Linked DNA regions of Pelodiscus sinensis. The protein of the gene in region 1 interacts with the protein of each later gene in a biochemical or structural test. Links are inferred from orthologs where the notes say so. Each region holds a gene or a part of one and is shown in the gene's direction. Other genes may lie near its edges. The genes, in order: TRIM72 and UBE2H.

Region 1 (7,197 bases):
AGCTCATGAGGGGAACCAGTTCCCTGTTGTACCCTCCGCCCCCATCTTTCAGCCCCAAACTGACTCCTCTGTCCCCACACCAACACTGTTTGGTGATTGCCCCTCTGTGTTCTCTGGTGCTGTTTACACGGGGGGCTGAGCAGGCCTCAGAAAACAGTCCCCTCTCCAGCTTGCAGGGGAACATGCCAGCTGCTTGACATACCCACTGTGGTAGCCTAGCTCTTAGTGCTTAAGAGGAGTTAGTTCTTGAACAAATGGACTCACAATGGACGGACAGACAGACACACCTACCTTTTTAAAAACAGAGATATAGATTTTGAGTGTTGCTTGATTTTAGCCAAACTGTGTTAGTTTCTATTATCTGAAAAGTGTGACTCACCAACTTTTTAAAAAAAATATGCCTGCCTGGGGAACGAGTCATGTGTGTTTTGCTATTCTCAGGGCTTGTATTTTTCTGTAACAGGGTTTCATTCACCTGGGCTGGGTCTACACTGGCATGAATTTCTGGAAATGCTTAAAATTGAATACTATTCCGTTTTCAGTTTTTCCGGATAAGGAGCGTCTACATTGGCAGGCTGCTTTTCCGGAAAAGCCCTTTTTCCGGAAAAGCATCTGTGGCCAATGTAGACGCGCTTTTCCAGAAAAGACTACTGGGCTGTCTACACTGGCCCTTTTCCAGAACAGTGTTCCGGAATAAGGACTTATGCCCGAGCGGTAGCAGAATAGTTTTTCTGGAATAGCGGCTGATTTTGTACAGTAGAGCATCGTTGCTTTTCGGGAAATTCAAGGGCCAGTGTAGACAGCTCGCAGCTTATTCCGGAAAAGCGGCTGATTTTCCGGAATAAGTGGCCCAGTGTAGACACAGCCCTGTTGTTTTAAATCTCTAAACTGAGCGCTCAGTTACATCAACTAGCTGACTGGCTGCCAGTGATTTCGTAAGAGGAAGAGCCTGCCTGGATTTCAACGGAAGGCTCTTACAAGCAAGAAGATGTTTGCTTTTAGATGTAACCAAAGACCCCGAAATGCAGGTGAACCCCACCAATGCCTTTGGGAACACTAGAGTTACTTCTCACTGTGTTTCTGCAGGTGCTGGCCTGGTTAGATTGAATTTGTTTTCTTTCTGGGTGTGTAAAACTGGAGATAATGAAAGCAGATTATAAAGCAGCCACCTTGTGCTGCAAAAACAAAGGTAGTCGTTATGTTTCTTTATCAGAAGATTGGACAGAATTGCTTGTGTGTCCTTACAGGCTGGCTTGGTGACAGGTGTCTTGAAAGAAATCAACCAAAATAACCAGAACTGGTGTGATTATGTTGTGTTATTCTGACACATCAAATATGCAGAATTTTGCAACATGTGAAAGTAGTGCGCACAGAATGCTTAACTTCTCCTGGCAGAACTGCCCCAGGAGTATCATCTGCACCAGTCAACACCAGGCACCCTGCGTAACGCAGGCTGCCGGTTTAAGGTCTCTTAGAACCGCTGCATGCGGTGTGGGACAGTTAAATGGTTTAAATACAGCAGGTTAATTAAATTGGTGCAAGTTTGTGTGTAAATAAAGTCTAAGGGAGCCTGCCCAGCAGAGCCCTTCTCCTCTCCCTGGGCTCCACAGCGCCTTCTCTCTCCTCCTCTGCTTTGCACTCTGATTCATCCAGATCGGAGGGAGGCTGGCTTGGTGGCAAGGAAAAAGTCTGACTGAGACCAGAAAGCGGGAGGGAGCGTGTCCAGGGACACTCGGGGGGGGGGGGGAGGGTTGTGGCTGCACCCCCTGACTTGTGGCTTCCGTTGTGTCCAAGGGGTGAAGTTTAGCTCAGGGGCTCTCAACCCCCCCCCGTGCCAGCGCATTGGCCCCCTGCTCCGAGTTCCTCTCTGGATCCCTCCTTACCAGATGCTGAGAAGAGTGTCGGTGACTGGAACTGCGAGAACGGCTTCTCTGCTCCAAAGTCCTTCCCGGGGAGGCCGCCTACGTAAGAGCTCCCCTGCAACTGGAGTTGAGGCTTTTTGGGCTTGCCCTGGGGCAGCCCCGAACCCTGGGGTCTGAGCGCCATGCTGCCGCCCCAGGCAGAGGCCTCAGCGCAGCAGAGACCGAGTCAGACCCTGGCCCGGGAGCAGGAAGTCGCTGCTGTGCCGAGTAGGAGGAGGCAGAGCTCGAACCTCCCTCCCCCCCGGACTCCGAGCCCTTGGTGAGGCAGGCTCAGCCCATGGCTCCCCAGGAGAGTTCGCTCAGCGAGCGTCCCAGGGCCAGGGTTTAAAGCGGCTGTCATGTGGGAACTGCGGTAATCTAGTCACCTTATACACTGGCAGCAGAAGAGAGGGCCTGGGAGGAACCTGAAAAGCCTTCCTTCACAGACAGTCTAGGGCCCAGACCCCAAATCAGTAGGAGCTGGACACTTACATGCCTTTGGTAAACCCTGATTGGGGTGTTAAATCTGCAGGTGTAGGAACTCCTTGCGAGAGGATGTGGTGAAGCCTAGAACTTTAACAGGGTTCAAAAAAAAGCTAGATAGATTCATGGGGGTTAGGTCCGTCAATGGCTATTAGCCAGGATGGGTAGGAATGGTGTCCCCAGCCCCTGTTTCTCTGGAGGTGGGAGACAGGGCAGGGATTCCCTGTTGTGTTCTCTCCCTCTGGGGCATCTGGTATTGGCCACTGTCCCCAAACAGGACACTGGACTGGATGGACCTTTGGTCTGACCCAGTGTGGCCATTCTTAATGCTGTACAATGTTGCAGCCAGGCCTCACCCTAGAGGTGGCTGCATTTTGAGACTGGGTGAGCAATCTCTCACTATCCAGACTGGAAAGCACGGTGGTGACATTTATTAGGAGAATATTTATATTAGCAAACAGATTAACAAACCCTGGTTCGTGCTGTTGGAGGATCAGATTGTCAGCCACTCCCGATGGGGAGTGATGGTCCGATGTGGAATCTGGGAGGAGAATCCAGAGACGATGCGGAAGGTGTATGAACTGGTCCTGAGCGGGACCAGGGCCGGCCGGCTGCAAGACAGTCACCAACACCAGGTGGAAGAGTTTTAGAGGAGCCTCTTAGAACGGCTGCACCCAGGGAGCTCCGGACTCCAGTCCTGGTCCTTCACCCCTCAGCAGGCTGTGCTAGGGCTCACACAGCCCCACCAGTCCCTCACCAAGGCCCCGCCCCAAGGCCTCACTTAGTCACGGAGACCCCTCCAAAGCTCCTGCTTCCATTAGCACTGACCTCTGGGGAAAGAGGCGCAGCAGGGGGTGGGGCCCGAAAAGCGAGGAGGAGCAGGGGGTGGGGTCTGGGGGAAGAGGCGGAGCAGGAGGTGGGGCCTGGGAGGAGAGGCGGAGCAGGAGGTGGGGCCTGGGGGAAGAGGCGGAGCAGGAGGTGGGGCCTGGGAGGAGAGGCGGAGCAGGGGGTGGGGCCTGGGGGAAGAGGCGGAGCAGGATGTGGGGCCTGGGAGGAGAGGCGGAGCAGGAGGTGGGGCCTGGGGGAAGAGGCGGAGCAGGGGGTGGGGCCTGGGAGGAGAGGCGGAGCAGGGGGTGGGGCCTGGGGGAAGAGGCGGAGCAGGAGGTGGGGCCTGGGGGAAGAGGCGGAGCAGGAGGTGGGGCCTGGGGGAAGAGGTGGAGCAAGGGGTGAAAGCCTGGGGAAGAGGCAGGGCCCATGGGAAGAGGTGGGACGGGGGTGGTTCTAGAAGTTCGGAAGTGTCCAGATTTCTGAAGTTTGAAAGTTGAGCAACCCTGCAGCCAAAGATGGACGAGTCCAGGTGCCCCCAGCGCTCCACTGAAGTGCACCAAAGCAGCTGCCCCGACTCACCCTGGCTGCGAAATCCAGCTTGACCCTCCTCCCCCAATCACTCCAGGCTGCCAGAGCCGGAGGCAGGAGAGCCCCCGGCGTGCGGAACAGCAGGGCGGGTGCTCTGCGGTAGGGGGCTCCCGCAGCCCCTGGTTCCCAGGAGGAAGGGTGGCACTCCCAGACCCCGGTGTGCAGGGGAGAGAGTGGGACCCCGGGCTCCTGGAGGGGAATGCAGGGTGCTCCCCAAGCAGAGTGCGAGCCCCCTCTCTCTACGCCAACAGCTGCCTGAGCCATTTGCTGTCACCCTGCCCTCCCCCTCCTGCTCTGCAGACAAAAAATTGGCCGGTGTCCTGTCCTTCCCAGAACAGCCGCGCATTATTGATCTATATATAGAGGCGGGGAGGGGCTGTGGGGCAGTCGCGCTGCGGCTGAGCCCATCCTAGCACAGTCAGCTGCTCCCTGGTGCCCGTCCGATCGCTGCGCCTCCTCGCCCTCCAGCCGGACACCGCTCCCCCGCCGTCTCCTCTGAGCTCAGTAAGACGCTGCTTGCTTTCTCTCCCCCGGAGCTATGGGGGTCTCACTTTGCTCCCAGGGCTCTATGCAGCCTGTAGTGACCGGGGTGCCAGGCTTAGAGGGCAGGGGGGAAACTCAAAGGGAGGCGTCATCTTTCTAACGAGTGCAGGACCGGGAAAGGTCAGAGGGCCTGGCGGGGAGACGGGCTCGGATGCTTCCCTTTGGGGTAACCGGGAGCGAGCTGGACTGAATTCGCTCTCTCTGGGCAGGGACCAGAAACGCTCCGCAAGCCTCCTTCTGTGTCTGCCTGGCTGCGTCTCTGTGGCCGGCCCCTGCGCTATCCCACGCCTGCCCCCAGAGCTCCTGCCTCTCTTCTCCTCTCGTGCCTGTTGTTTTAACCCCTGGGCCCGGAGCTGGAGCTGAGGGACAGCTTGTCTGCGGGGAGAGCCTGTGGCAGGGAAAGCGGGGGTGGGCTGGAGAAGGGGGTGAGCTGGGGGGGCTGGTTTGGGTTAAAAAGTCGCTCTGGGCAGGGGCTAAAATGGTTCTTTGGCGTCTCTCTCTGTTTGTGGCTCTTCTGCCTCCCAGTCCACTCCCTTCCCCCTCCCAACCTTCAGCCGACATTCCCGCCCCATGGAGAAGCTGTCCCTGCCCCCTTTGGTGTCGGGGGGGGGGATGGCCTCGCCCATCGCTACCCATTAGGGATCCCTCCCTCCTGCTTCCGCCTCCTCCCAGCCCCCCTCTACCCCTTATTCCCAACAGCGCTGTGGACAGGTGGGGGAGGCCACGGTGAGACCCAGCTGCTCACGCCCCTCGGGAAGCGGCTTTTCCTGATTCTCAGATGTGGCCTGGCACTGGCATTCAGCCCCGTCGGGAGGGGGGGGGGGGGGCTCCGTCTTGCAGGCCGCTCCCCTCCGGAGCAACGGCACAAGCTCCACAGAGCCCCCTGGCCAGAAGGGCCCTTAGCCCGACCCCCTGGATAGCACAGGCTGGAGATGCCCCAAATATAACCCCCCCACACACACCCACCCCGTGCCTCATCCTGAGCCTCTGCTAATGCCCCCCCCCAGCTCCCTACGCAGTGCACCACAAGGCAGAGGGACCCCTGCCAGGCCACCTTGGCAGCTCCAATGCAGCGCAGTGCGGCCGCACACGCAGCAGGGCACGGGGCCCCGTGCGACGCAGCTCGGCACGCCCCGAATTCACCACACGTGCAAGGCGAGGCAGCTGAGACAGTGGCCGGGAATCAAGTCCACGCTGCATGTCTGGCAGGCAACATAATTCCCTGCGACATCTCAGACACCGAGGGCACCCCCAGGTCCCAGGCAACGCAGCCCCACAGAACCTACCGGGTCAGCAAAGGCCCATGGAGCTTAGTGTCCTGTCTGCCGACAGCAGCCAATGCCTGGTGCCCCAGAGGGAGGGAACAGAACCGGGAATCCTCGTGTATCCCCTCCCCTGTCGGCCATTCCCAAATTAATATAGTAAAATATATAAAAAATAAAACACATACAAATGTGAATCCCCAGCTCTCTCCTTCATTCGATCTCAGGGCACTCGACTAAGGGCGATTAGGATAATTTTATGGCTAGGGAAACTGAGGCACAGGGAAGTGACTTGCCGAGCGTCTTCACGCAGCACCGCTGGAAATAGCAGCGGGTCTCCTGCCTCCCAGTCCAGCCCTTTCGCCCCAGGCAGTACGCAGCCCCCACAGCAAAAGTGCCCTGCAGCAAAATGGCAGGGTAGCACCACAACTATAACACTGCCAAGCATTGTGCAGTGTGGCCTAGTGGCTAGCATGCTGGCCTGGGACACAGCCAGGCCCAGGGCACAGGTGGACAATTTCGGTCCCAGGCCTGCGGGAGGATGGGGACAAATGACGTCCCTTGCCTCACTTTTCCCACCTGTAAAATGGGTCTAAGGCTGCCATTCTCTTTGATAAAGCTCACTGAGCTAGACTGTCAAAAAGTGCTCGATAAGAGTTGGGGGATTACGACTGTGGTGACCAACACAGAACCCTGGTTCTCAAATATTAGCAACCGGGGCACCTCCAATTGGATTTAAATTCTTTGAGGACCCCCAAAATGGCTTCTCATTTTAAGCCCCACTCAGCCCCCACCTTCCCCCAATTGTCCACTCCTTCCATGTCCCTGCCCTGCCTCTTCCCCACCTCCTGCTGCCCACTCCCCCGAGCACCCCCATCCCCTCTCCCCTGCACACCGCAGAGGCAGGGGCGGGATTGAGCAGCAGGGCCGGCAGCCCCAGACAGACTGGCAGGCCCCACGCTGAGGACCAGGGCTCTGGCACCCAAGATGCAGCTAAAGGCTCCGTGATGTTGCTGGGCTGATCCTTTCCAGCCCCTGTTCTGAGGCAGGAGCATGTAAAACGTCAACACCCCCTCCACCCCGGCAGCCGTTCGTCTAACCTGTGCTTACAAGCAAGGGTGGGAACAGCCAGTGTCTCCCTGCGGAGTCAGAGCCTTTAGCTTCCCACTGCGCCACTGGAGCTACCGGCGGCCAGCAGTGACAGTAAGTTCACATTTCATACAGGCGCTGTCCTATTGCAACCCGGGTCCCCGCCCGCCCTTTCAACAGCGCCTTGCTTTTACCCCAGCTCAGCCAGCCCGTGCCGGAGCTGCGTGCCATGGCGCCCCCACTTTCACCTCCACCGACGGCAGAATCAGACCTGCCCCCCCCTAGCGCTGCCACAAGGGGGCTAAGCCCCACCTGGCCATTGCAGCTGGAGCGTTCCCTGCAGGAGCGGCAGGGCGGGGCGGGCTGAGCCCAAAATAATCCCTTAACCCCTCCTTGCCCGGGGTGGGGTTTGGACACCCCGTCCCACTCCCAGGGCAGCATGTGGGGGGAGCACGAAGGGTCAGGGTTGCCGGGGGTCTGGTGTTGAACCGGACAGTCCCGTA
Region 2 (7,448 bases), on another chromosome or scaffold:
GGCTGGTTCAAAAGATGTGGAACAGCTATTTCGGGATCCCTCTGGCATCCCAAAGTAGCACCGTAGTCTAGACGTGTCCTAAGTGTTTCGTGGGGACCACTTTACAGCCGCAACATCGCAAGATATTTTAACAAATCTGTGGTCACGGTGTGCACCTTCACACTTGTCACCTAGCTGCACACCAGACCTTCCGTCCGTGTCCACACTTAAAAAGCGACAGCTGCTCTCCTGTAGCACTTCAGTGTAATCACTTACAACAGCAATGGAGGGGTCACCCGTCACTATAGTTAATCCAAGTTTAATGGAAAGTTTGATCAGAGGTTAGGTCCTTTTAACTATGTCCTTTCAGGTGTGGATTTTTCACCTCTCCGAGAGAGGCGGTTCTGTACATGTAAGTTCAGTGTAGACCAGCCCTCAAAGCTCACAGGGACGGCTGGAACAAGAGCTCAGACCCACTTGCTTTAAGCGCACCAACCCCCACAACCTGAGCTAAGGAGAGTCTCAATTAGCGATCTAGTGCCACCGAATGCGCAGTACTGACTCCATCCGAACTTGGAGGTGTGCTCATGAACTTGGCAGCGTAATTTGATTGTCTTCACACAATATTTTACGTTTCCATAGGAACTTTTTCCCCAGCAGTCTCAACATACTTTACAAACATTCATTAACTTCAGCGCACAGTTCCCGGCTCCAGAAGGCAGGTAAGTATTAGTTACTATATTTTCCAGGTGAGTAAACTGAGGCACGGGTAAACAATCAGACCAAAGTCCATTACCGAGGTAAGGGTAGAAACTCAGAGTTCCAACGCTCATACCTTAAACTACACAGCTTTCTTTCCAGTTTGGGATATTAGCTAGAATGTGATTAATTTTGCAGTAGGGTCAATTGGCAAAGTTCATTTATCGGTAACATGTGACTCCCCTCTGTGTCCTTGATCCTTTTCTGCTAACAGCCTGTATATAAAGGGTTGGACAGGCCCAAGAATACATTTCCCAGATCGCAACACTCTAAGGTCATACAAGGTCGAACAGCTGTTTGCTCCCATACACTGCTCAGTTGTACCTGATTCTGAGAGATATCGCTCATTCCAGCCTCCCGCTCGATCGGCGTCTCTAGCCTGGGGACCCTGCATTACTCCTCTGTAAATTATTGACAGCTGGAAAAGCAGAAACCAGAAACTGAGCTGGTGGAAAATGTGATAAACCTCCATTTGTTGCACGTTAACAAATGCTGAAAGCCAGCTATTGGAGCTGCTTGGCTCCCGGTGCCCTGTGCTGAGCCTCTGATATTCACAGGCCAACTCCTGGCTTTGCTCCACTTGGCAGGAAGGGACATGTTAACCCTATGTGGCCAGGGGACACTGCCACGAGACACTGCACCTTATTTATACTGGAAATTGCCTAGCTGCTAAGAGGGCTGGGTCCTCCTGAAGGAGCTCCTATTCCCAAACAGCCTTGGGGGTCACCCGTCTGCCCATGCTGAATCCATCCTCCCTCTCTGTGCAGGTGTAACCCGCACACATTGGCTGTGTCTAGACTGGCAAGTTTTTCCGCAAAATCAGATGATTTTGCGGAAAAACTTGCCAGCTGTCTACTATTCGGGCAAAAGTCTTTTTCCAAAAGACTTTTGCGCAAAAGGGCCTGTGTAGACAGCATAGTACTGTTTTCCGCAAAAAAGCCCCAATGGCGAAAATGGCGATCGGGGCTTTTTTGCGGAAAACCGCGTCTAGATTGGCCACCGACGCTTTTCTGCAAAAAGTGCTTTTGCGGAAAAGCATCCTGCCAATCTAGACGCGATTTTTCCAAAAATGCTTTTAACGGAAAACTTTTCCGTTAAAAGCATTTCCGGAAAATCATGCCAGTGTAGACGTAGCCCTAGTGTGGTTCACGCAGGTTCAACCAGATACAAGGCTGACCAGGTTGACCACCCTGCCCTGTCTTCAAGTCCCTCCAGTGGCTCAGCCTTGCCTTCATTTCTGTTTCCCCAGTCATAGCTTTGCAGAGCCCAGCTGCCACTTAAATCTCATCTTGCCCCTTTGCTTTGCCAGGGATGCTCCCTTCCTTTTCTTCTCCCCTTCTGCTTTCTCCTGTGCCTACGGTTGCCAGGTGTCTGGTTTTAGCCTGGACTGTCCGTTATTCGGATCCAGCGTCTGGTACAAAAACAGAAAATACTGGACATGTGAAATGCCCAGCATTTCCTCCTGTTTCCCTCAGACGGACAATTTTCCCCTGCCGCATCTGGTGGGGATGGTGGGGAGTGAGGAACTGAGAGAACAGCAGGGCCATTTAAAGGTACAGCTGTGGGTTTTTTTTTTTTTTTTTTTTTTTTTGCTCAACAACGTTGGTTTCGCCCTTTTTCTTTTCTCAACAGGATTTTTCCCCGGTGTTTTTTTGTTTTTGTTTTTTTGGGGGGAGGGTGTTCGGTATTTTTTTGTTAAACCATCTGGCAACCCTACCTGTGTCAGCTCCTGTCTATGAAGTGATCTTGCTTTGGTCAGTGCCTAGGTTCCCAGCTGCCTCCACTAAATCCATATCTTCCATAAGGCCCAGCAGCACTGACCAAAATCAGCATAACGCCAGCACCACAAATATCCGTGCACAAAAATAGCAAGCCAAGTCATCCCTTCACTCAAAGCATCTGTCTTTTGGTTGTTTTTCTGATTGTAAACTCCGCTTGGGCAGGGACTCTGTCTTTGACTCAGACATACAGTTGTTTCATTATGATGATGTGGCACTGAAAAAAAAATCATGTCAGGACCCTCACAAAACACCACAATCCACACTGCAAATGTAAATGATAAAGATCCACAGCAAATCATTGCCTGCAGGGCAGAAATGAATTTGAAACATGAGAATATCAATTAAAGGTCTAGAGAAGTTTTCTCTAACCCATCTTTTTCATAATATGGCTAGTATAAGGATACATTGCAAAGAACTCAGAAAACATTTTTGTAAGGTCCTGAAACAAATTAAACTGAAAACCAAGTGACGAGACTCTCCCCCATGTCAAGATGTGCACAGACGCATTCCTGAATTTCTTGTGAGGTGTGAATACAATGAGTATTGACTTCCCAGTAATACCCAGCTTGCAACAAGATGTTGCTGTATTTATTATGCCTCACAAAAACTGTGTGAAGAAGGTGTGTGTAAAAACTGATTTTTACAGAAAACTTAAGATGCATTAAACGTTTACAAAAGTAGAGAGAGGGTTTTAACAAAAAACCCCAAACTGTGCAGCATCCTGTTGAGAGACAAAACAAATATGGGAGTAAAGAGAGTTTGGCAGAAGTGAAGTTTACAAACATGGGAATGTCTCTGCTGTAGCCTCGTTTTACAGATGGGGCACAAAGTGGCTAAGTGACTTGCCAAAGGGCAGAGTGGGTATAGATGTTGGGAATCTTAACCCCACCCTTCGAATGGATTCAGGGGCCCTAGCTCCTTCTCTAATCAACCCACACCACTATCAGCTAAGCAGAACATAGGCATGGGTGAAAGCCGTAAGTGCATTTAGATGAAGTCTGGGCCAGCAGACCATCCTTGTGCAGACAGAAGGTGGATGAGGTAACGTCTTTTAGGGGCTCAGCTTGTCAGCTGGTGTAAGAGACAAATGTCTGAGCTGCTCCTCTTTAGGTGTCAAATTTACATACAGCTGGCAACATGCCAGGGGAAACCAGCTCTCTCCCTACATTTTTAGGTCAAGGGGCGTTGGCATCCACAAATGCAGAAGATCCCTTGGCCCTATTAAGGAGACCATGAGGGGCGAGGCCTCCACCCGGCAGCCTGCCTCCACCAGCTAGACCCAGGGTGTGCGCCCAGTTCTGAAGCAGTAGCCACTGCTATAGCGAACTAGCCCCGTGATTCCGAAAAAACCGGTCGGACTCATGGAACGTGGCTTCGGAAAGAGGAAAGACCTTCGGAACTTTGTGATTATTCGTATTATTATAATTATTCTATGAAAAAAAATTGGGTTTTTTATTTAAAAAATGTTTTTTGTTTTTTTTTGAGTTTTCATTGTTCAAGCCAACTAGCCAGTTAGCCACGTGGGGCGAGTGGCCAGCGCGTGGGGCACTCGACCCTACTCCAGGGCTTGCTGGGAAGGAGCGGCGGCGGCCTACAACTCCCGTCAGCCAGCGCGGGGCGGGGCGGGGCGGCGTGAGCGACGCGCCGGCGTCACGCGCCGCGGCGCCAATCGGGGCGGGCCCGGGCAGTGAGGTCACTGTGGGTGACGTCAGGGGCCCAGAGAGAGGCTCTCCGGCAGCGGCGACGGGAGCGGGGCGCGGGGCTGAGGGGAGCGCGAGCCGGAGCGGGGGGAGGCAGGAGCGGCCAGGCCCCGCAGGGCGCAGCGGCGGCAGCAGGAGGGGGCTCGCCCGCGGCTCGGCGCCCGGCGCCCCCCCCCCCGGGGAGTCCCCCCCCAGCCCGGAGCAGCCCGGGCTCTGACAGCCCGAGAGGAGGAGCCGGGCAGCCGGGGGCACCATGTCCTCCCCCAGCCCGGGCAAGAGGCGGATGGACACCGACGTGGTCAAGCTGTATCCTTCCTGCGCGGGGAGACCCGCCCCCCCGTGTAGGGGGCGAGGGGAGACCCCCCCACACCTTCTGTGGGGGGAGACCCCCCCTCCTGCCCTGTGTGTGTCTGAGACCCTTCCCCCCTCCTTCCAGTGGGGGGGGGGGGAGAGACCCCTCCCCCCTCCTTCCAGTGGGGGGGGGGGGAGAGACCCCTCCCCCCTCCTTCCAGTGGGGGGGGGGGGAGAGACCCCTCCCCCCTCCTTCCAGTGGGGGGGGGGGAGAGACCCCTCCCCCCTCCTTCCAGTGGGGGGGGGGAGAGACCCTTCCCCCCTCCTTCCAGTGGGGGGGGGGTGGGAGAGACCCTTCCCCCCTCCTTCCAGTGGGGGGGGGGTGGGAGAGACCCTTCCCCCCTCCTTCCAGTGGGGGGGGGGTGGGAGAAGAGAGACCCTCCCCTGTCCTCCTGTGTGAAGTATGGGGTGAGAGGGAGACAAGAGAGAGACCCTCTATCCTCCCGTGTGGGGTGGGAAGGAGGAGAGAGAGAGGACCCCCCCCATCCTGGGGCGGGAAGAAGAGAGAGGTTCTCCATCCTCTTGTGTGTGGGGGAGGGGGAGAGGGAGACCTTCTAATGGGGGGGGGGGAGAAAAGCTTTCCCCATTTGACAGTGTGGGGAGGGGAGAGATCCCTCATCCCCTGGGTGGGGGAGAGAAGCCCCTGTGAGGAAAATATCCTGGGGAAAAGGCCCTCAGCCCAGAGGAGAGTGACATCCCTAATCCTCCAGTGATGTACAGCTGTCAGGGCCTGTCCTGCTGATATCTTGTGGAGAAGGAGAGCGTGAACCCCCATGAAACCAGCTACCAGGAGGAAGAGGGTGAGCCTCCCCTAGATCAGCCCCTCTGGGGGAGCCCCCTGCAGCCACCTACTCAACATCAACTCTTCCCAGTCTGCTGAATAGAGGCCTCCTGAAAAAGCAGACTGTCTTCCCTCCCTACCCCCAGTCCTGGGGATTTCAGTGCTCTCAAATACCGAATCTATCTCCCAGCCTCAGCTTACACCCCAGACTAAGGACTGGTGCCCCTTTAAACTATAGAGAGCCTGGGGTATAAGAGGCTACCCCACCCACCGCCTATCCTGGTGGGAGATTAGTACCTTTAAAGTGGGAGCATGGGGCAGAATCCTTTGGTTCAACCTAAGGCAACTCCTTTTCCTTCCCCTGCTATTGTGACTCTTCCTCCTCCTCCCCCCCACCCCTATCGCAGGTTAAGGGAAAGAAACCCCCTCCTCCCATAGATATGACAGCTGGTAGTCAGTCTTCGAAGGGAATTTTTAAGGAATATTCTCCCCCCCTTCCAGATGGCACCCCCACTCCTGACTCCCCTCTTTCCCCCAGCCCTCTTCCCTGGAATGTAGTTCAGCAGCTTGGAGTGGTTAGAAGGGGGTCTCAGAGAATGGAGAGGTCTTGTCTAATAGCCACAGCCCAGAGAAAGCCTTTTGTGATGTTTATTATTATTTACTCCATGGTTTCAGCCTGCCATTCCCAAAGCTTCTGGTGCCAGCTTAGGGACTTGTGTTTTCTTTTCTTTTTTTGGGGGGGGTGGGGGGGAGTCTGGTTTGCAACAAACCAAAAATAAGGTGCTATGGAGTGGGGGAAAAAGGGGTTCCAGAGCAATTGAAAAGTCTCTCTCTCCCTTCCCTTCCCGCTAGAGGTTTTGTTTATGTAACACTCCTGTTTAGGGTAGGCTTTTTTCTTTCCTAATGGATCTATTTTTATTTTTCTCAGTATTTTTATTCTCACCCCTCATAGGATGGTGTAGCCCTCACTTTCGCTGTCTGGAGTGTGGGTGGCTATTGAAAAAACATTGGGAATTCGATTATAGAATTGTTTTATTAATAGTTTTGTTTACGTGGTGGTGGTGGTGGGGAGAATTGACTTAACTGACTACAATGCTTTCAGATATATTTACTCCCCCAGGAGAATTTGGGGGTGAAAGATCTGGTTTTTTTGGTTGTGGTAGGAAGGTTGGGGGTTATAAACAGATCTGATTTAGTTTCTAGAGGCAGAGATAAACAAACTTATTTGGATTTTGTGTCTTAAAAGAAGGGGTGAAATCAACAGTGCTAATGTCTGCGGTATGAGAACAGTTTACCCTAGGAAACTGTGTTAATGTTTTTGTATGTTTTTATACAAAGTTGCTCTTTATTTTTAAGGTTGTTTATAGCAAATAGGAAATGACTGCCGATCATGGTACTATCTGAGCTATTTTTATTCCGGAGTTTAGAATTACAACATGTCATACCCTCCCAAATGCAAATTTCAGTTGATGGTTAATTTCACCAGGAGGAGGTTTGAAAACTCCAGCTGTTTAGTGGAAATAATCTTCATTGTGTGTAATTTTTTAAAGAGGACTGTGCTGGAGTGGAGATGAGGCCCATTATGACCTGATGCATTTTCTACCCCACTTCTCTTTTCCTGCTTGGTAGCTGACATCTAGACTGACTACAGCATTTTAGGAGACAAAGAGCAGGTTTTTTGGTATATTTATTGCTTGGTGGTACACGAAAAGAAGCAAATAGGTTGATATTCCTTCCAATCCCAGTTAATTTCTCATCTCCTGGTCTATTTTCCCTGACAAAAGAATCTAGAGGTGCTTTAAAACTGTAGCTCTTATTATTGTTACCCCAGTGCTCTTGGTATTTGACACAGAGGGATAGGTCAGTTTGTGTCTTGTGGACCGTAAAGTTAGGAAGTTGTGTCGAATGGCTATTTCTACCTTCCTCCGGCTTTTTGTTTGTCTGGCCTTCCTTCATATCTCTAGGATGAATTCAGAGTGTAGGCCCAAACTGCTGAGCCACTTCATTTGTCTGTGCTGTCCTATTTGTAAACCAGCCTGCACGTTTTCTGAAATAAGTGGGGGGGGGGGGGGGGAGAGGAGGAGGGGAAGGATTGAA

Evidence for each region.
Region 2: the proteins of TRIM72 (region 1) and UBE2H form a complex in vitro, tested with the Homo sapiens proteins (2 studies listed by BioGRID). The link is inferred for Pelodiscus sinensis from reciprocal best matches to the Homo sapiens genes TRIM72 and UBE2H.

Annotation. Positions count from the first base shown.
Region 1 is NC_134714.1:131,223,279-131,230,475, reverse strand, and holds the start of TRIM72 (tripartite motif-containing protein 72), read left to right. Parts: upstream 1-4,166; 5' UTR 4,167-4,304; intron 4,305-7,197. Other genes in the region: uncharacterized protein LOC102458195, read right to left, coding at 1,884-2,046. UniProt on the Homo sapiens protein: Muscle-specific E3 ubiquitin-protein ligase that plays a central role in cell membrane repair by nucleating the assembly of the repair machinery at injury sites.
Region 2 is NC_134711.1:4,002,943-4,010,390, forward strand, and holds the start of UBE2H (ubiquitin-conjugating enzyme E2 H), read left to right. Parts: upstream 1-4,234; 5' UTR 4,235-4,472; coding exon 4,473-4,525; intron 4,526-7,448. UniProt on the Homo sapiens protein: Accepts ubiquitin from the E1 complex and catalyzes its covalent attachment to other proteins. E2 ubiquitin conjugating enzyme that transfers ubiquitin to MAEA, a core component of the CTLH E3 ubiquitin-protein ligase complex.